Alligator mississippiensis: one gene and its partner. The protein of the gene in region 1 interacts with the protein of each later gene in a pairwise test. Links are inferred from orthologs where the notes say so. Each region holds a gene or a part of one and is shown on either strand. Other genes may lie near its edges.

Region 1 (10,926 bases):
GGAGCAGGTTGTTCCTAAGATATGCAGTTGACATTTTTTGGCCTGGGGAATTTCCCAGGGGTTGTCTGTCAGAGAGATGATGCTGGTGATTCTCTCTCAGATCTACCCTGTGTTCACTCAGGCACACTGTCCTCAAAACCAAGAGCCTTATACGTGCACAATGAACTTGTGGAGATTTCCTCAGACAGAATTCACTCCCCTTCAAAACTGGGGTCTACCAAATGTAAAGTAGCGAAACATAATTCCACGTTTGACTTTAATCACCGATGAATGGAGTCATTTTTACTAGACCATATCCTGCTCTAGAGGTGTCCCTTGCAGCCTCTCTTAAGCATGTTAAAGACAGAAGTCTCAATAGTAAGTGCCAGGGACATCCCAGAACAACGTCACTACTGCATTTTGTGGGTTTGGTTATGCCAGTGGGTGTGGGTGGGTAGGATGTGCTTGGAATATCCCTCTCTTGCAGTGGTCAAGGTGCAGTGTAGGGTTATTTCACCCTGCTGAATAACCAAGGTCAATTCTAGTCTTATGTAAACCTCTGAAACCTCCTGGGTTATGGAAGCAAAGCTCTCTTCAGCATTTAGAAAAATAATGGCAATGGTGTGTGCCAATCAGCTTTGCATGATAATAACCGAAGGGGGTGACTTAAAGGCTGATCTGGGGAGCATGGAAAGTAGATTACTACTGTCTGTTGATGTGCTCATTCTAAAAAGAATATATATACTAATTTGGATACGTTTATCCATCTGCAGAAGAGCTCAAAGCATTTTTCAAACACTGTTCAAGCTGCAAAATACAATCCTGAAATAAGTAACTGCTAGTGCTATCTTATTCTTGCAGCCAGACAATCTGTTGTCAGTGATATGCCCCTCCTAACACAAGGAGCCAGTGTCTGAGGCAGTAATAAAGCCACAGACTAGGACACCCACCATTTGACAGCAACCTTTCTGTTTGAGTATTCTCTTCCATTTCTTTGCAGTCTTTCCATACTCCGAAATACTAAAATTGTGGCCCCAGTAACCCCAGTGGCTTTGGCAGGAAAGTAATGAGTAGAACTGGGCAAATAATGGAGAAAAAAATCCACTGATAGTCACTTGCTTTGTCCATATCTTTGCCCTCCTTTTATTCCCTACTTGCTAATTAGCAAAACCAAAAAAAAACCAACCCCCCCGCAAAAAACACCCCCCCAAAACCCCCCCAAAACAACCCCCTGAAAACAACCCCCCCAAAAAACAAAACACTGACTGGAAGCAATGCTGGACAAACACCAGTTCTTCCTTTGCTCATTTCAGTTCCCATACAATTTAAATTCTTGCGATTCATCTCCATTGCAAACCATTTGCAGATAGTGGATTTCAAAGCTCGCTTTGCCCCTCTCACCAGATACACCGGTGCTGACCGACTTCTCCAATAAAGGAGCAGTGGGAAAAAAAAACCCAAACCATGTGACTTATCCGCCCAATCTCAGTCCTGCAACTCAACTTGAACTTTAAAGATCTATGACCCGGAGAGCAAAGAATTAGAGAAGCCCAGACATCAGAAGGGGAGAGAATCCCGGGAAATGGGAACCTAAATAAAAGCGTTTATTTGGGTGTGAGGAATCGCTTCCAAGTTCCTCTGCTCCATTAAAAGCCCTTCTCCTCTGTCAGAGCAACTTCTCAGCCGGCTTCTGGACTCCCCCAGCAGCAAAATGCAGCTGTTTTCACAGCTGTCTCCACTGGCTGCAGATGTTTCAGGGCGCGGCTCCGGCGGGCAGCATCCTGGGCAGCCTGGACGTGGGGTCATCACTTAGCCGGGCGGCAGGAGACCGGGGCAGCTCCCACTGCAGGAAACGGACCCCAGCGGAGCAAACAGTCTCTGCTGCTCCGCCAGGCTCCGATCCCCACACGGGCTCGGCCCGGGGGCTGCAGCGCAGCTCGGCCAAGGTCTGAGCCCGGGGTCCGGTGCCCTTGCGGGCGGGGGCTTGTCTGCGGCGCTGGGCCCGAGCTGGGCGGGGGGAGCCGGTCTGTGCCCCGCGGCGGGGCTGGGCATGGACTTTCTACGCTGAACTAAGCTTGGGGTAGAGGAGAGAAACGCGGTCCACATCTCCCCATCCCCATGGTCCAGGGACTGGCCATGGGGTCACAATCCAGTTCCTCCAGCGTGGGGCGGAGAGGGGCAGAGGCGAGGCCGGGGACGCCCCACGCGGCTCGGCCGCCTGCCCCCGGGCTCCGGCGAGCCCTTCCCCGCGCCCGCAGCCGGGACACGGAGCGCAGGGCCCCGGGCGGCTGCAGGGCGCCGGATCCTGCCGCGGGTCCCGCGCCCTGCACGAGCCCAGCCCTGTCCTTGTAGGGGCTGCGCGGCCCGGGATCGGCCCCGGGCGGGCGCGGAGCCACAGCGGGTCTGTGCGCGCCGGGGGCCGGAGGACGCTCCCCGGAGCCGCCGGGATCGCCCTCCCCGTCGCGGCGGTGCCAGCCTCTCGCCCCCAGACACGGCCGGACACTCACACGGCACCGCGCGGGCTTCAGGCTCGGCACGAGGCAGAAAGTAACGTTTGTCAAGGCAGGAGGAGGAAATCTCGGCCGCTCCATTACCTGTTTTAATGGCATATTTCAGCGTCGTTCTGCAGTTCAACAAAATTTCTTCCAAGGTCTGCGGTTGATCCGCCAGCTCCCAGTTGTATTCCTGGAGCAGCTCGTTTGGGTAATGGAAATCAATCACTTTGGTTGATCGGTCAAAACTTTTCGCCACGTACTGAAGCAAAATGTCCACGACGTCTTGTAGGAAAGACATCGTCGCCACCTCCCCGTGGCAGGCGGGCAGGAGATCTGGAAGCGGAAGAGAGAAATGTCAGCGGCGGCGCTGGGTGGGAGAGGGATCGGGCCCCGGTGGGAGCTCCTGCAGCTGCGGCGGGGAAGGCGAGCCCGCTGCCATTTCTCATTTCACCTTGAGACGTGTGCCCGGACTGCACTGACAGTGACGGGCTGAAATGCGAGCCCCACGCATGCATTACAATAAAATCCCTTCTTCGGGGCTGGTCAAATGTGGTGGCTGGCAAAGAACTTGTTGATCGTTTACTGCCTTTTCGTTACTGGAGGGTTTCAACGGGATGAACCAGTGCAGCTCCTGCGTTTAGTTAAGGCTCGTGCCCGGTGTCAGCTCTGAGCTGTTTGTCGCGCGGGGCGGCTGCAGCCCTGCAACGAGCTCATCGCGCCGGTGGGCCGGAGCCCGCGGCTCGCGTGGGAATAGGTCTCGGTACCACATCCCCACCCGGGGCTGGGGGACGTGCCGGAGCAGAGGGGCCCGCTAGACATGCACTCGTTGGCGAGAATTTCCCGAATTAAAAAAAAAAAAAAAAGCATAAAAATAGCGATCATATTCCGGGGGCTTGGTGTCGCTCTAGGAAAAGGTCGCTATTGCCTGCGTCCTTGGGCAGAGCAGCCCGCGGGGCGAAGCTGTGCAGGTATTTTTTTTCAATCCTGATGTTATAAAATGTTTCCTCTTCACAGACCCGGGCAGCGCCATCTGCTCTAAGCGCGGGGACGAGATCGTGCAGAGCCCGCCCGAGCCCGGGGGCTGCGCTGCGGTAGCCCGGCGGCTCCGGGACCTGCCAGCCCCTCCGCCGGCCTCTGCTCCTGGCCCGGCCAGCCGGGATTAGCCCCGCGGAGCACCCGCGCGAGGGGACGGTCGGTACCTGTTGAGTGTAAAAATGCATAATTAACATCCGCTTTGGGGCAGCTGCAGGGCTTGGTGTTGCAGGTGCAGGCCGGCCGCTTCTCCTCCGAGCCCGGGTCCTCCTTTGCACCGGTTTCCATGGGCTTTTCCGCATCCCCATAGAGCAAAGCTAACGAGGAGACAAAAGAGGAAGCCGAAATGTCGTGTGTCAAACGCAGCCCCGATCGCGCGCCCCGCTGCTCCCTTTGTGCCCGCGCGCAGGGGCTCTCCGGTCCCGCGGCCTGCGACAGTTTCTCTCTTTTTAATGCCTACATATTTTGGGGTTTTTTTGGACTAGCCGCTACTGGCCACAGCGAGCTCCTTCCTTACCACAGAGTTTGGTTCCGATTCCTCCTGTGAACTTCTGGGCCGCCTGGCACCAGGCTCTGGCTGCAAAACAAGAGAAATGAAGCGGCGCGGCGGGGGCGCGGGCTGTTCGGGTGCGTCCGGCCCGCCCGGGGCTGCAGCTCCCGGAGAACAAAGAAAGGCAACGTGCCCAGCAGCGGCCTCGAGGCCTTTCCCCTCCCCTTGCCCCCCACGCCTGGGGAAGACCCCCCCCCCCGCCCGCAGGGACAAGCCCCTCGGGGGGACTCGTGGCCAGGCGGGCGCGGCTCCTGCTGGTCGTGGAGAAGCCCGAGGCACCGTCCAGCTGCACCTGGGCGGCCCCGGTGCGCGGCGAGGCGCGAGGCGAGCGGGAAGGCTCGGATCCCCGCGCCGGGGAAGTTTCCCGTCGGCCGGGCTGGAAGGCGTCCACGGGCTCCGCGGCCCCGCCGCCCCCTACCTGTGCTCGGGTTCTCGGGGTCCCCGGAGCCCTCCTCGGCCCCGAAGGACCAGAAGCCGGAGCTCGGCGTCGCCATCCGTGCGGGAGCGCGAGCAGCCGCGGCGCGGCACGGGGCTGAGCAGGGCTGAGCGGGGCGGGGCGGGGCGGGGCGGCGCTAGGCACTCTCCATGGTGCTGAGCGGCAGTGACACGAGCGGCGCCGCTGCCTCTTTATCCCGCGCGGCGCCGCGGCCCGGGCACGACTGCCCGCCGGGCCTGGGGCTGCTGGACGTGCCGCCCTCGGAGGCGCCTTCCAGGGGGCGGAGGAGGCTGGTGCTCCGGGATCCGTCCCGCTCCGCAGCCGCTCGTGCAGCCCGGCAGCCCCTGGGGCCCTCGGGGGCGGGAAGGGAGGAAGCTCGAGGGAGGCGGCTCGAGCGCGGCCGGGACCGACCGACGGGGGCGGGGGGAGAGGGGGGTCTGTGGCGGGATCACGTGAGTCCCGTCACTCCCGCCTCGCAGGACAGCGGGACTCGGCACTGAAGGCACAGCAGTGCCCGAGTGACGTCCTCGCCTCGCGTGGGGGGGGGGCGGGGAAGGGAGGAGGAGGTCCGGCCTCGACGCCGGCAGGCAGGGGGGGCGGGGAGCAGCCCCGCCCCCGGCCCCGCCCCCGGCACACAGCAGCGGGCAGTGCCGGCGGGCGGGCGACCCCCGTCAGGGGCTGCGGTGGAGTCGGTTCATAGCGCGGGGAGGCCACAGCCGCAGTCGCGGCCCCGAGAGCCTGGTTGTGGCCCCCACGGCGCCTCCCCCGTCGGCCCCGCGAGGCCGGGGCAGCGCCACGCAGGCTACCGGGCCCCGGACTCCCGGTTGCTCGCGGGCTTCGGCCGCCGCCCGCCCCCGGCCCGGCCCGGCCCGGCCCGGCCCGGCGCGAGGGGAGGCGCAGGAGGGCTCCGGCAGGAAGGCACCCGGGGGCCGCGCCCGCGCAGGGCCCCTTGCAGCCATGAGCCGGCCCCGGCGTCTCGACGGCGCTTCCCGCGCGGGGCTGCCCGGGGCGGGGGAGCGGGAGGTGCTGGCACGCGCCGCGGGCGGCCTTCGTGCGCTTCCTTCGCCCGCGCCTCCCAACCTGCCCCAGCCTCCCTGCCCGGGGCGCGACGGGCCCGCCTGGCCTGGCCCACGCTGGGGCCGGGCTCGGGCTGGCGGCGCCGTCCGGTCGGAGCCAGCCCGTGTCCTGGAGCACCTCGGCGCGGCCCGGGGCGGCGTGCGCGGGAGCAGAGGCAGCCGGGCAGAAGCTAGACGGCAGAGGCTCCGCGAAAGGCCTCGCTCCGCTCCCTGGAGCCGGGCCGGCGCTGGCAGCGTCCCTCCCCGCGCCCCGCTCACAGCAGCACCAGCTGCCCGCTTATCGCTGCCCTCCTTCTCCCCCCCGGGATTACACCTGTGCCAGGGTAATTCAGACACAGACAGGCGTGTCATTAACTCGCGTCCTTCTTTATTTACTCCGCCGCGTTACTGCTAGAGAGGAAGGAAGAGATTTCCAGACTGACACCCGAGGAAGAGCGGCGAGAGCAAACCCGCCTCTGCCGCGAGTGAGAGGCGGCCGCAGGCAGGGCTCTGCCCCGAGCAGCGAGCGGCGCGGCCGGGCTGGCTGCGCGCGGGGCCAGGGCGGCGGTGTCTCCCTTTAAAGGGCTTCGTGCAGAACTGGACGCCGCTGGCAGTCACTGCAGTCCGGGCGACTGGCTTGAGCGAGGGAGCGGGATTTGGCCCTCACCCTCTGGGGACTGTTTGCTTGATGAAGTCTGCCTTTCTCCCTTTACAGCTGGGAGAGTGCAATTATCAGACCTGGAATTCCACCTGGGTGTGAATGCACTAATTATCTCCATCCATTCTGCCAGGCCTCTTGTAAAATAGGTTTTTGGGTGGATTTTTTTTTTTTTTTTGAAGTGGCTATTCCCTTTGCACCCTGGTGGAACTGATTGCAATTGGTCTTTACCTTCGAGGCAGCAACAGACCAATTTTTATTTCCCTCGACATTTCTCCATCACCCAGAAATTAAAATGCCTGAACAAAAAACAATACCCATTTAGAAAGGAGAACAAAGCAAACAAAATTCAGGAGTTTATCCACAGAGCTGAGGGGGCAGGAGAGAAGGTTGTGCTTAGATGTCCTGTCCTGTATATAAACATTTCCCAGATAAAGATTACACACACTATATTGACCTCTAACCCCACCCCAGAGCCTTACAGTACATAGTCGATAAGGAAATAAGTTTAGGATATACTGTGCCATGAATAATTTATATGAAGATTTACTCTATAATTTAGGCATTGTAAGGCATAAACCAAAACGAATGGTTACATGCAATTAAAAATCCAATGCAGCTAATTCATTCTTCTGTTTGTTAAATTAATTTTCTGTCAGGGTGGGAACCTGAGTAGGAAAGGACTGGTCTATTTACTGGTTATTAACTGGTCTATTTACATAGTTTAAAGATGAAAGAAATGCAAAAGTAGAAAACAATCTATGCTAAAGAAAGTAAACTACTTTTTAAACATTCTTTCCTGTTTTATAATCTTGAAATGGATTAAGAACATCAGCAAAGGAAACTCTGTGGATTATTTTTTAAATATGTTTTTTTTTTAACTTGACAGTGTCCCTTCAACAGGAGGTGGGACCACAAATTAAAATAGTTTGTATTCAAATGAAAAAAACACTGTAAATGCGAAATATTGGAAATAGCCATACAAAAAAAAAGGAAAGCATATGGTATAAAATCATAAAAAAGATTATGCTAATAAAAGCCAAATGGCAGCAGCAACTAGAATTGCTGGATAAGGCGCCGGCGCTGAGAGGTTTTCCGCAGCAATTTTCTGTAGTCATAGGGATTATCTTCATTTTTGCTCTCTTCCAGGGGGCTCTCTGCAACCCTTGACCTAAGGATTAAGTGCAGAAGTGCTTTAGAAATTAAAGTAAAAACATTTGCTTCAGCAAACACTGTTAATCGACTGCTTAACTTCCACCCTCAGCAAAAGCTGCTGCCTTTCCCAGGCCTCTTCCCCTCTGTAGAATAAAAGAGGCACCTCAGAGCCAACACATTATAGACAGTACAGTGAAACATTACAGGAAAACATGTTTTTTCCATAAAGTAGGAATCAGTAGAGACATAATAAAAATGTTACGGCATGCAAAACTTGGGATCGATTCTTGTTGGATAGATACTGGACCAGATTCTCAGGTGCTGGAAACTGGTCTGGCTTCGCTGACATCATTGAGCTATCCCAATTTTTATACATGCTGAAGTCTTTATTGTTTCAGACTCAAAACTGCAAAGATCACAGACAGAACCATCTAATTTTATTTTTTTCCAAATGGAAAGTTGCATTAAGTCTCAACATATGAAGTGAAACCAGGTATTTCTCTGTAACGTGATTCAAAACAAACTTGATTGCTTTGAAACATATCTTATTTCAGAATAACCACTGAAATATCTGGGAAGCAGCATGAAGGGAACTGCTGCTGAATTCAAACTGCCAGCAAACAATAACAGGGTTCATTTTTCCACAGGCATATCCTAATTGATTAAACCACACAAGAAGCTCCGCTGAAATGGTCACTGAATGTTGAATTCTACCTAATGCTAAAGTAATAAGCTTGTAACAAGGGGATAAAATCTGCTCTCACTTGCATCAGGGTATGTCTAGAATTACCCCAGTTATTTCAATATGCTACTGAAGATGGCAGCCAGAGGAAAACATGCTATAAAGCACGTTTCTGCTTCCACTGTGCTCATTGATTTAAACATAAGCAAAATCAAGCCCCCAACTATATCCAAGAAATATTTTGAACAAAAAGTCAAAGGTTAGGTGAAGTTAATGACCCAAGAAATGCAAAATTTTCCTAAGCCTGTAACCATATTGTGACTTACTGCTACTATAACATGGATTCTTTTTAAAAAATTCCATGCTTTCATCAAATCTTTCTAAAAAGCTAATTGTGGTGCTCCTGTATTCAACATGAAAAATCATTTGTAACAGAAGGATTAAAGAAAGAATTTAAGGCACCTTTGCAAACATTTTTACTACTGTTTTGAATATATTTGTTTTTAAACCAGGCAGTCTCTCTAGATTACATAAATAGGTTTGTTTCGTTAGAATTTTCTTTAATCCTTCTACTATTGATTATATTTCACGTTTGTTCACATACATATTTGTGTATCTGCATACATTTGTGGGTGTGAAAGAGAATTTTTTTCTGACCAACAGAGGTCACTATCTATGAACTCTACATAGACACATCTTAGGTTTTGTCTTCAGGTTTCTTCTTCCTTTTCTCTCTGCGTCATGCTCACATCAAGCTGAGGTTATTAAGGCACGTGGTTTTTGTAAAATAGGGAAAAAGGAAGCCAAGAATCCGGTGTCTCAGCTCTGAAAGTCAGTCAAAATTTTGGCAAATATCCATATAATTTAAAGCCTGACTGAGCCAGAAATTTAACTTTCAAGTTTTTCTTTAGTTTGATGCAAGTTTGAGATCTGAGGCTCTACAGCAAGGAGGTGTGTTCACCTTATTGGGAGCTGTGGAAGCAGAACAAAACTGGCAGGTTTTCGAGTAAGACAAATGTGCACCGTAGACTGACTGGGCAGAGTTCTGTTCCAAAATTCAGACAGACTGAAAATCGAAGAAAGGAAATTTTCAGCTAAGCATAAAATTTCCTAATTGCTAGAATTATTATTGTAGAAGATTCCATGAAAATGAGTTGTTTTACAGCTTTTAAATGCAGATAGTTTTGTCTTATATGAAAATGTATCCAAATAAATATGTATCATCATTTTCTAAGCAGAATTAAAAAAACCTTTATTTTACCAACAATTATTTTCTGTTTACTTACCCTTCACTAGCCATTATAGTTGAACTCCTGAGCTCAGCCGGTTGTCTCTTTTCTCTTCGGCCAGTATAACTATTCTTTGATACAGCATCAATAGATGAAATTCCTTGGTAGTATAAATCTTCTCTATCAAGCATCTTGTCCAAACTGTCAATCAATAAATGGACTAAGCTATCAGCTGTATTTTTCAACATTTTCTCAGCAAAAATACGGAAAAACAAAGGTTGCTATTTATTTTACCAGTTAAGAGCTAAGGACTTTTTACCTGCTGACAGTATTGGAAAAATATATAATACACACACACAAAACCTGATTTGTTGTGCTTGTTTGTATATGTGCACATACATATGCACTTATGTATAGGTAGACATATATGTGCATGTACATATGCATATATCTACACATACATATACACAGAAGCACAGCAAATATGGTCCCTGGAATGTAACTATTATAAAATGCCTAAGTTTATCATTTCAAAATATTTGAGAGGCAAAGATTTTTGTGGGTGATATCTTTTACTGAAAGAAGGCAGGGCACATATGCACCTTATAGACTAAGATATAGGTAGAACACAATCTTTCATGAATTTGAGCTCACTTCATCAGATGCTGTATGAATTCCGATCTTATGTAGTTAGTTTTTCAGGTGCAAATAGACCCTGCCTGACTTCAGACTAAGATGACTACCTACCTCCATCTCTTATTTGGTTTAGCAAATATATATTTGCACACCAAGTCCTTTTTAACATAAGTTACTCTCCCTGGACCTGCATAGGTTGTAGATGGTTTTGTAAGATGTATGCTTGTACGCACCTGTGTACCTCAGGCCAGCGCTAACATTTAAAGATCTAAAATTACTGGGTATTTTTCAGTGATGCCATTCTAATTCATGTAATTAAGACTGTATTACAACTGTCTTTGTAATCCCTGATTTTCAGGCATTTCTGTTCTGTCTACAAAATGTACTTTAGGTGGCAAATTAGTAAGCAAGTCTATAGCTAATTCAAGAGATTCGGAGTCAATCACTAGCATTTAGGGATATCAGTAGATTTATGACGCTCCCCGGAGGACTATGGCTTAGTCATGAATGAATGGATTATCCTGATCCAGAAGTTATAAGGAGATAATCATCATCTGTATATTTAACTCTTTCAGACTGCCATGGCTGAGAAAGCAGAAAACCACTTGAGAGCTGGATTTCTAAAGAGATTTGCAATGTAATATAGAGACTTTAATTTCAATGTCACAGATCTATATATCTTGCTTAAGATAGTGATGGAACCTGATCTGGGAAGTTCTGTGACCTAAAATAGATAAAATGGAGTTAGTGGTCTCAGTGCAGGTCCTAGTGGGCAGGAAGGTATGTTATTCAGCACCATTCTGGCCATAAATAGTGGCAGAGAATGGCTAAAGGAGGCAATGCCTCCACATCAAAAACTGAGTTGCATTATTGGGATAATATGAAAAAATTGCACTGCTGCTGCCCATGCTATCCTTATTCTATGCAAAGGGGCCCTTATTTTCTACTGTTGTCATTTTATCCATTCTGTTGCAAGGCTAATAATTCACTTAAAAACCCAAAAATTTAAATAATGGCCA
Region 2 (11,101 bases), on another chromosome or scaffold:
ATCGATTTGCTTTATGACAGGAGAGTGCAGACAGCCCAAAGCAGCCTGTGCTCTCCCACTGCCCTGGGCAGGCACTTCCTGGGCTTGAAGAGCCTGATCCTGTATACCCTGCCAATTCCTGCACAGAATTAGGCCCCTCCAGACCAGGGAGCACCTACTTAATTTTACCCACTTTCAGACACGTGCCCTTGGCAATCTCCATGGCGAGGCTCTGGAAATAGGAACCTCAACTTCCGTTGCTTCTACAGACTTGCCTAGAGAGTGCTGGGGGTATGTTTCTGCAAGCAGGGAAAGCCGGGACACACTGATGCAGTCCCAGGGCTGGGGCTGCCAATTAGCTGATTGGCAATCCTGTCCCTGGGACTTCACCAGAGTATGGAACTTGCTCTGCTGGGGGCCAGGGGTTGAAACTGCGAATCAGCTAATTGGAAGCCCAGCCCTGGGACTGTACTGGAGTGTCCTGGCTTAATGTACCCCTGACAATCTTTGGTAACCCCAGAGATTGCTGGGGGCATGTCTTTACAAGCAGGGCAAGATCAAGAGGTGGGAAAACGGGTGTTGTGTGCTTCACCCAGTAAAGCAGATCAGCTGTGCTGGGACATAGCCACTTCACTGGTGATGTCTATTTCTAGACTTACACAAGACACACTTGATAACTATTTCTTCCTCCTTTTCCTTACAAAGAAAACAGGGTCTGAAGGTCCCAATATTAAGTCTTATCAGGGTAAACAGAAATACTGTAATATTCAAAGCTGATGTTTATTATTACTCCAAGCAACAAATTATCCACTGCTTAACATACAAGGTAGTATGTGCAACTACAGTTAAAATGTGACATTATTGTACAGAGTGAAATGTTGATACTTACTTTGGAGTGTACCAGTAGTTGATCAGAGTTGTAAACGCTACATAACAAATACTCATTACTCCAGAAACTGCCAAGGAAAGCAGCCCTAGGCCACCCAGCACACAAAGAAGAGCTATTCCACCTGCTGATATTACAACACCTAGCAAGGAAGAACCAATTTGTTACTTGCATGAATACTGTACATACTATTGTACATCAAGTACATATTGAAAACAAAGAAAGTATTCGCTGCAGGTCTACTGCAATCCTAAATTCAGACCAGCAGTAATTTAAAAGTGCACATTAGTTCTGTTCACAATGCAGGTCAAAGACCCAAGGTCCCCAGTTGTATGACATCCCCTAAAGGAGAGGCAGTCTCCCTACAGAGTTTTTCTCTGATCAGTCTTGAGGAGTGATGTTTGTTTTTAGCAGGCTTTGTTCAGGTCTCCAGGGATCGAAGGAGGCTAAGAGCTTCAGCACAGAGGCTTAGCATCTCTGGGACTCAGACATGAATCCTCTAAATCTGCATTGGCCTGGACCTCCCTAGCTGTCCTTCTCCACCATGGAAAGGTACTACAGCCATTACAGCCATGTGCATTCCTCTTACACTAGATGCTGGCCTCTTATTTGTTCTCCCAGGTGGATCCTCTGGCCCACAGTGACCTTTCCTTGGATTAGGGTGAAGTAAATGATTAGGCCCACATAGCTGGTGGAAGACAGGGTATGTGGAGGTATACTTCAGAAGAGAAGTTTCAGTACATGCTATCTGTTATCATCTAAAAGGAAAAATCCCACACAACATGCTCTTCGTAAATCTCCTTGCAGGCCAGAGATGAAAGCTATCCAAGGCAAAGATAAGAGGTTTAACAGCATCCGCATTGGGATTAACTGTACCCAAGACAGGGAAATCCTATTTCCTTTTTTAATTAGATTATTATTCCAGCATTAAGACTTTTGTTGATGCTGAAAGCTGAGAACTTCAGAAAAAATCTTTTAAATTCAGTTGGATCAAGAGCTGGGCATGAGAGAGGGGAGAGAAAGGAAAATCCTGAAAATAAAAAAAGGCTTAAAAGGGGAGGAAAAGAAAATAAATAAAATACCTTCCATGATTATAACTCCAATACAGGCCATGACAGCTGTTGCAACCACAAACATCAGAAAGAATGCAACAGGAATAGCAGAAACTGCAATAAACACCAACAGCGACAAGGCAACAAAAGGATGATCATCTAAGTATTGGCCAATTCGAGAGTTCATAAAAGCAACAACCTGTAGGGGATTGAAAGAAGAAAAGTTGAATTAGATTAGGTGTTTGCTTCATAAATCTTTTATGATCTTAAACTACTTTAATGAAATTTTGGGTACAATAATTGTGTAAGTACACAAGTGATTAATTCGTGTTATAGGCAATGGCTGCACAATGTCAGAAGCACGGAGAACCGTCTGGCTTGGTACATATTTGCACTGTACTCACCATCCTTGTATACGAATGCCTTACAAATTCTATCACGAGTGGCATATCAAGGAAATAGTTTTGCAGCACATGTCAAAGCAGATGTGGAGATATATAATCTATTTTGCTAAATCAAATGTATTTTAGTACACCTAAATTTAGAAGCTAGAACATAATGGTACTTGAAAACAAAGGGGGAAAAATCAATGTGGAAGCAGGAGTCCTCACTAATAGCATAAGATAGTTTACAAAAGATATTCTGTTAAATATATGTGATACAGATGAACCATGCTATAAATAACAGTAAAAAACTAACAGTAAATGAAGTATGCAAGTCTATAGCGTATGGGGTTTTTACCAACTGTAATTTTTAATCCAGTGATTAACATTTGTTTCAATGTTGAAAGTCATATAACAGGCCAGGTACTAAGGTCACACTAAAACAGGTGCAAAAACAATTTGTTTTCAGGGACTATAGGTTAGCAGCAGATCCATAAATTGCCCTCCCTTGAACATTAAGGACTCCACAGATGGATCTACACTACAAAGTTGTATTGCTTTAATTATACTTATTATCTTAATTATATTTATATAGTTAAAGAGATACAACACGTCTTAAAACTTCATACTACTATATCTGAATTCCAAATTTATGCTTCAAGTTTCCTTGTATGTAAAATGGGGATAAATGTTTACTGCCTGTTGTGAGCCATTCAGATGTTACTTTAATGAATCCCATAGAAATGCTTTTAAATTAAAAATACGTTATGGTGGCTTGTTCCTCCCCCATGCCCTCTTAAAAAAAAAGAAAGAAAAAGAGGGGATCTAATTTTCTCATGATGAAAAATTCAAATGTGACTTTTGTAATTATATCCTTATCATAAAATGAGGTGTGACATCCAAGCAAAGACAGCTGGAGAAGCATTATGTAAACACACTCTATCAAATAATAATCGAATCCGAAACCCACATTGGAGTTGCTGTGGATGGATTTCATCATGAAGCGCCACTGCTTCTGCAGCTCTTGCATTTCTTTTGACATGTTGGAGCCTTCAGGGTTGTTCTTGAACCTTCTTCTGGATGATCAGTGCCAGCTTGGCCATTCGACCTCCTTAACAATTGAAGTGAAGTTACTGACAGGCTTGTGTATAATTAGAGGAACAGTATTTTCTTATTTAAATCAGAGGAACGAGAAAGACGCTGAGCATGGATTTCAGCGCGTCCTATAAAATCTAGGCCACATATTACAAAACATTTCAATCCAGTCATTCCAGTTCCTCAACACCTCACTTACATTGCCCTCAAGTACAAAAAAATTACATTTTTCCCCCTGAATATAAACATGCTTCTTGCCTTCTCAGTTTATCGGTTCAATCTTGTAATTATTCATAAAAAAAAAAAAAAAAAAGTGCCCAGTTCCCCAAGGTCCAAAAATTTAAGGGGGGCAGCATCAACTTGAAGACCACTTTTCGTCCTGAAGTCTGACCTGCGGGCGCTTCAAGCAGCGCGCTTACAGGGAACAGACCAGACACCTCATGTCGCAGCTGTGGGCCCTGGCGCTACAATCAGGCTCCCAGCGCGGGTTTCCCTTTTGCTCAGGGGCTGCAACAAGGAGGACAGAGACAATGGAGGCGGGAGGAGGGACCCTGCAGGCCGCTTCAAGGACCTAAAACTGCGTTTATGGCTCGTGTTAAACCACACCCAGCGCCTGCACCCCCGCCCCGCCTGTCCGCACGGACACGAGCCCCGCGCCCACCGCGCCAAGCGGCCGGGCCCATCCAGGCCGGGGCGGGGGGTGGAGGCGGGCCCGCCCCGAGCCGGTTTAGTCGCGCGAGTCGCCCGTGCGCTGCCCGCGTCCCCCGCGGGAGGAGGCCCCAGGCCCCGCGAGGAGGAGGCGGAGCGGCGGCCGCCGCCATCCCCCCCGCTCCCCGCGGGCAGCGCCGGCTCCTACCTCGGCGCCGGGCCGGGACTGCTGCAGCCGGCGGCGGCCTGGGCAAGGCTGAGGGAGACGCGGCCTCCTCCCGCTTCCGCCTCCGCCTCCGCCTCCGCCTGCCCGCGCCGGCTGCTGCGCGCGGGGGAGCGGGCGGCTCCGGCCCGGCAGGGGCGCCCCGCGCGCCCATGGCCCGGCGTGCGACGGGCTCGGCCCCGCCCTGGTGTTGCCCCTTGGCTTGTCCCCATCCCCCACTGGGCCCTGGCACCAGCCTGTGCCTCTCCCTGCCGCCCGGGTTGGAGGTGCCCATCCTTGCCCCGAGCCGCAGGGTGCGTCCTGCCTGCAGCACTTGGCCCAGGGCAGGTGCCTCTGGGATGTGTTGTACAGCGCTTGGGAGGATGGCAGCTCTGGCAAGTGGGCTGGAGAGAAGCAGGTCGATAGGTCTGGAGGGGAGGATCCCTGCGGTGGGCTATGGCTTCGTCCTGCTGTACACACTGGGGTGAAGGAAAGCCGCCCGCTCCGTTGCGGGGGACACCGGACGGCGCCCTGCCAAACAGAAGTGCACGGAGTAACCCCGCTCAACCAGTCGAAACTCAGGAGTCGGGTTCCCAGAGCAGCATAAAGCGATGAGACTTTTAACAACGAACGCAGTCAGGATTTATTTTAGTAGTACTTTGGTTGTTGAGCCTTTAGGGAGTGCTGATCATGTCGAGTGTTTATCTACAGCACTTAAGAGTACAACGTTATTTAAAAAAAAAAAAAAGTTTAGATTCCCACCTTTTTATAAAGCACCAGGATATTGTAATGCTGATATAGCGTGGGAAGTTTTGGCTACGGGAGTTTGTATGCTATTGTAAGAACAGACTGGCTTGTACCGTAAATCAATTGTTGTTTGCTGCTGGGTGTCCACGGGATTGCTTGCTGAGTTACGTGTCCTGCAGCTACAGGAGTTTCCGCCTTTGGAACAGGAGGGTGTGAGAACTCATTCTTCGGCTGCTGTGAATTGATGGCAGCGAATTGGTGGTTGTGGCAGTGATTCTCAGCTACGGCATAGGGACACCCAGGGATCCTTTGAAGGATGTAGATGTGAGGAGATAAACAGGTAAGCACAGGATCAGGCACAGTCCCTGCTTGGCTGTTCCCCTGGCCTTGCTGCCCAGCCCCTTGGCAAGGAGGTAAAGCACTGTAATAAATAAGTTAGCTTTTACAACAGGGTGCTGTTCACAAAATATATGGAGGGGCGCTCTAAAAAGGTTGAGAACCACTAAGTTATGATATATAGCAGCAGTTCCCAAACTGACAGATTGCGCACCACCAATTTAAAATGATACAACCTTAAGTACCACCAGCAAATTTTTGTCATGTAAAATAATTATAATAAATCTGTTAACATGTACCACTGACAGGTTGTCTGTAGACCACTGGTGGTACGCATACCACAGATTGGGAACTGCTGGTATACAGCATATTGAAATCGTAGTTACTAGGTGGCTAAAGATCATTAAACCGCTGTCGCGTGCAAAACTCGAACCGCTTCAGGTAGATTAGCTCCTTTTGCTGTACAGAAATGTGATGTTGATGAGACTACCTCAAGAAACTAGAACATTTTTTTCTCATGCTTACTTTTGATCAGCCTTTTTAATTGGTGCCACCCAATTAAATATTAATGGTTTCATTAGTTTTTTAAAAAAGGGGCAATGGAAATAGACTAGTGTGTGTGGGGGGTAGATTAAAAAAAATCTTCAGTAGTGTTTAACAGGATGCTCTGATGCTTGTTTGTGTTAAGTGCAGGCGAACGGGACAATGAAACAGATGCTCTGCTATCTGCAACTGATCAGTTTAGTTTAATTTTCCAAGTTGAACGACATGCAAAAGTAAGTAATAACCCAGATGGCAAAAAGTAAACTTGCTGTTTGAAATTATTTCCATTTTGTGCCTTGATCCTGCTCCACTGTGGATTGGGGCATTAATAATTGAGTGGATTATTAGTAACATAAGTAAAGGCCTTTTTATGTACAGTTCTTTAAAGATGCTCTCTGCATGTTGGAAAAAAACAGTGGATGTTGTGTGTTTAATTTGGATTGCAACAGTCTCGTTAAGGTAAAACAAAGCTTTATAAATCATTTCATTTGGAGGTAAATGGAACCTCTGCCCTTAGAGGCATCTACTGTGTGGTATTTCACGAGTGAAAACATTTGTCCTTCTGGTGAATTTGTAGGATGAGTCTCCAACTCAGCTCAGATTTTTGTCCATTGGTTCTCTTGGGCTCTGGTCCCAAAGATACAGAGCAAGAAACACCCAGAGAGAGGAAAGCTAACAGTAAGAATCTCAGTAAACAGTATAATATAGTCTCGCTTGGGATACTAGAGTATATACAATTCTGATTTTCAGCTTTGGTTTTCCATTTTTATTTGTTTATTTTTGGATATTTTTAAAGCAAGGAACAAAATCTCAATCAGTGAAATTGACTGTCTTCACAGGCCCTGATATAACCCAAGGATAATGGCACAGTAAACTGTAATGACCCTATTGTGTTTAGATTGATATGGAAACTTGAAATGGTAGATTATTTCCAAAAAAGTGAAGTAACTGGTGTTGAGGGTCTCATACATCAAGATGAGACGTATTTTACAAGTATTCACAATTGTTCTTTTTGCTAGAAATCCTTTTTTCCAAAAGAAACAACTGCTTTTTGCTTTTGCAAAACAATAAAAAATAGTTTCTGTAATTTATTTAACTTTCATAGACATTAGGGCTGGAAGGGACTTTGCGGGATCATCAGGTCCAGCCCCCTGGCCCAGGGGCAGGAAGTCAGCTGGGGTCAGATCACCTTAGCTAGATAAGCATCCAAACTTTAAATCTTTAAACCTCTTGGTTGCTGTATGCAGAGGAATAATAGTTAAAATAATTATGTCTTAATTGAGATTGTCCTGTTTCCAGCATTAACCTGAGTTCTCTGTGCTGAAGTTAACTCCCCTCTACTTAGGAAAGCAGAACTAAAAGTAGTCATGCAGCAAAACAAACACCTGAGTTGCAAAGTGTGACTGGATTAAAAGTAAAGTGTTTGCACTAGCCATCCTGTGTTGTCCTCACAGAAAAGTTGAATTGCCACTACCATGAGCTGCAGCCTTGCCTGAGCTTCATCTATGCCAGGTAAGGTAACTTGAGTTCAAAGCCCTGGGTAAGATGAGCTAGACATCTCTGTGTGTGCATGGGAGTTGGGCCAGTAAAAACAAGCCTGTTACCCAGTGTTAGCAGCCTTTTGCCCGAATACAAAAAACAGTATGAACCCAGCTTCCTAGACATAGGTACTATGAAGAGGCGGTTAAAAAGAAAAGATGGCTTGATGCGCAAAGGCCTCCTCCTACAAACCATCCTCATTCTCCAAATTCATCTACAGGGAGGTCATAAAAGAGAGTCTCAGTCCTCAGGGTAAATTGAACTGTGGTCAATACAAAAGCAAAGGGGGAATGCACCACCTTTGTGCTATTGATTCTGCTTCATGTTGGTGGCTGATTCAGCCCTTGTAAATTTGAGCAACCAAAGGGGACATCCCAGCAGTTGGAGGTGGCTGGAATACAGCTACACTCCAGTAATCCACCATTTAGCTTGGTCACATTCAGATAATGGGAGTGGGGGGCAAGGCAAGTGATACAGAACTGCTTTGCTAGCTCTGCTTCCTGCGGATTCCCCAGCTGAATAAAATGGTTGTGCCTCCTTTGGACCAGCAGTTCAAAGAGGTTGTAGCACAAGGGAGAGGAAGGTCGCTGAAGTTTTTACATCCTGATTGAGCATCTTTTTACAAGATATATTCTAGTTCAGCCAGAAGCCATCAGCTTGATGCATGCAGAAATTACTGAGGGGAATTTTTTTCAGGGTATCAGAGTAGTTGATTATAATTGTTTCTTTTAGCCTCAAAGTTTAAGAGTCAGGAAGACTTTGCTGTCAGTTTGACTAATGTAAAATGTTAGGGGAAAAAGAGCAAGGACAGTCAACCGGAATCAGTTGTTTAATGGGACCCTGGCTTAGACATAGTCATTTAATGTATTCAGACAGAAATACAGATGACTTGCATGCCAAGGTGAACTAAAAAAAATCAATCTTTATTTTTCAAAAGAGCATTCCCATTCAGAATAATTGTTCTAATGGTCACTTTTGCAGGGTGCAAAAAGAGATTGAAAGGTAGACAGCAAAGAGTTTGTGTGGGACGTCTCCCTTAGGATAGTTGAACTGCATGGGCAAGACTGGAGAGCAGGTACAGGGTGACAGCAACAGAATTTCGACTAGGCGCAGACATTCAAAAACCTGGAGCCTGAATTGATTCAATCTTTGCAGGTTAGTCTAACCTGGCTAGATTGAACCAGTTTGTGACTGAAAAGATATTCCCTCTGGATTGAGGAAATGCAGGCACATGCCTGAAGTCACTCAGGGCACGAGCTGGAGGGCGCAAGAGCAGCGTTTCCCAAGCGGTGTAATGCGGCATGTGCTGTCAGGCAAGTCCAGGTGTGCCGCAGCATTTGGGGCTGAAGCCACGCCCCCTGCCTGTCTAGAGCTATTCCCCCCCCTCCCCCGCCTGCTGCTGCTGTGGACATGGACAGACTGGGAGCATAGCTCCAGCCCAGAATGCCATCTGGGTGGCCGTGTGTCACCCACATGTCGCTGTCTGGCTGGCTGCACGCCACGCCCCCACTGTTGGTGTCTGGATGGCTGTGCATTTCCCCCTCCTGGTCCGTGTCTGGCTGGCTACGTGCCCTCTCCCCACTCTGTGTCCGGTGTGCCACGGTGCTTTTTTATTTAGGTAAGTGTGCCGTGGGGCATAAAAGGTTGGGAAACACTGCACTAGAGTGCATCCTTGGCTTCAGGGAAGGTGTGCTGGAGGGGCGTGGCCAGCCCTGGTAGTAGGCTGGAGTGAACTGGCCAGGGAGGGGATTTACTTCATAGTATCATAGTAGCTAGGGTCAGGAGGGACCTGAACAGATCATCTAGCCTGACCCCCTGCCACAGGCAGGAATGAATGCTGGGTTCACAAGACCCCAGACAGATGATCATCCAACCTCCTCTTGAATATGCCCAAGGTAGGGGTGAGGACCACCTCCCTGGGAAGTTGATTCCAGATTTTGGCCACCCTAACTGTAAAATATTGCCTTCTGATCTCCAACCTAAACCTGTTCTCCATCAGCTTATGACCATTGTTCCTTGTCACCCCGGGTGGTGCTGGGGAGAAAAGAGCTCTGCCTGTTCGCTGTTGATCTCCCCTGATGAGCTTGTAGGCAGCCACCAGGTCCCCCTTCAGCCTCCTCTTGCTGAGGCTGAACAGGTTCAGGTCCTTCAGTCTCTCCTCGTAGGGCCTGTCCTGCTGCCCTCTCACCAAGCGGGTGGCCCTCCTCTGAACCCTCTCCAGGCTGGCCACATCCCTTTTGAAGTGCGGTGCCCAGTACTGGACAAAGTACTCCAACTGCAGGCTGACCAAAGTCACATAGAGGGGGAGTATCACCTCTCTGGACTGGCTTGAGATGCACCTTTGGATGCATGACAAGGTATGGCTGGCACCTTTGGATGCATGACAAGGTATGGCTAGCCTTGCTGGCTGCGGTTTGGCATTGGCAGCTCATGTTCATCTTGGAGTCAATAATGACTCCGAGATCCCTTTCCGCCTCTGTGCTTTCAAGAAGGGAACTCCCCAGCCTGTATGTATGCTGTGGATTCCTTTTCCCAAGGTGCAGCACCCTGCATTTGTCTATGTTGAACCCCATCCTATTCTTGTCTGCCCACTTTGGTAGTCTGTCTAAATCTGTTTGCAGCCTCTCTCTCCCTTCAAGCGTGTCCACCTTGCCCCACATCTTAGTGTCATCAGCAAACTTGGACAGCGTGCTTTCCACCCCCTCGTCCAAGTCGCTGATGAAGATGTTAAACAGTGCGGGCCCGAGGACCGAGCCCTGGGGTGTACCCCACTGCTCACGTCTCACCAGGTTGAGTACAACTCGTCCACCACTACTCTCTGGGTGCGCTCCATCAGCCAATTTTTTACCCATCTAACTGTGCAGGCATCAATGCCGCAGTCACTTAATTTATTAATGAGGATGGGGTGAGAGACAGTGTCAAAGGCCTTCTTAAAGTCTAGAAAGACTATGTCCACAGTAACACCATCATCCAAGAATTTAGTTACTTGGTCGTAAAAGGCAATCAGGTTGGTCTGGCAGGATCTGCCTTTGGTGAAGCCATGCTGATTGCCCCTGAGCATGATCTCCCCTGCAGGCCCCCCACAGATATGCTCCTTGATGATCCTCTCCAAGATCTTCCCGAGCACCAAGGTGAGGTTTACAGGCCTATAATTACTTGGGTCCTCCTTCCTCCCCTTCTTAAAAATTGGGACCACATTAGCCAGTTTCCAATCCCCCGGCACCTGGCCAGATGATCACGAATGCTCTTACAGCCGGGCCAAAGGCTCCGCGATGACCCCTGCCAGCTCTCTCAACACCCTTGGGTGGAGGGCATCTGGACCTGCAGATTTAAAAATGTCTAGCCCTTCCAGAAGATCCCTAACTACATCTGCACTGACTGAAGACTTGATAGAGCTATCCCCAAGATTGTCCCTACCTCTGGTAGGTGGGATATCCTGGTCCCTGTTTAGGAAAACAGAGGCAAAGAAACTGTTAAAAGTATCAGCTTTCTTGTCTGGCTTCCTCCCTTTTATTGTCTGGCTTCCTCCCTTTCTTATCTGGCTTCCTCCCTCCCTGTGCCACGGACCCAAGCTGGGGTCTGTTGGGTGCTCCCCCCTCACTGCCACAGCAGTAGGGACGCAGCCAGATGCCATCCGGCATGGCCTCCTGAGGCAGAGAGGGCAGGGAAGGGGGTTATTCCTCCCTCTACC

The links. The genes of interacting proteins can lie anywhere in the genome.
Region 2: the proteins of GAD2 (region 1) and LDAF1 interact in binary tests that used the Homo sapiens proteins (3 or more experiments, as listed by UniProt). The two-hybrid records come from large-scale screens. The link is inferred for Alligator mississippiensis from reciprocal best matches to the Homo sapiens genes GAD2 and LDAF1.

Annotation. Positions count from the first base shown.
Region 1 is NC_081828.1:188,876,604-188,887,529, reverse strand, and holds the start of GAD2 (glutamate decarboxylase 2), read right to left. Parts: upstream 4,625-10,926; 5' UTR 4,551-4,624; coding exon 4,475-4,550; intron 4,084-4,474; coding exon 4,024-4,083; intron 3,824-4,023; coding exon 3,674-3,823; intron 2,808-3,673; coding exon 2,574-2,807; intron 1-2,573. Other genes in the region: MYO3A (myosin-IIIa), read right to left, coding at 7,262-7,376, 9,329-9,472. UniProt on the Homo sapiens protein: Catalyzes the production of GABA.
Region 2 is NC_081836.1:46,231,343-46,242,443, reverse strand, and holds the start of LDAF1 (lipid droplet assembly factor 1), read right to left. Parts: upstream 4,343-11,101; 5' UTR 4,252-4,342; intron 3,773-4,251; exon of another isoform or gene 3,654-3,772; intron 3,412-3,653; 5' UTR 3,343-3,411; coding exon 3,271-3,342; intron 2,117-3,270; coding exon 1,948-2,116; intron 1,008-1,947; coding exon 869-1,007; intron 1-868. UniProt on the Homo sapiens protein: Plays an important role in the formation of lipid droplets (LD) which are storage organelles at the center of lipid and energy homeostasis. In association with BSCL2/seipin, defines the sites of LD formation in the endoplasmic reticulum.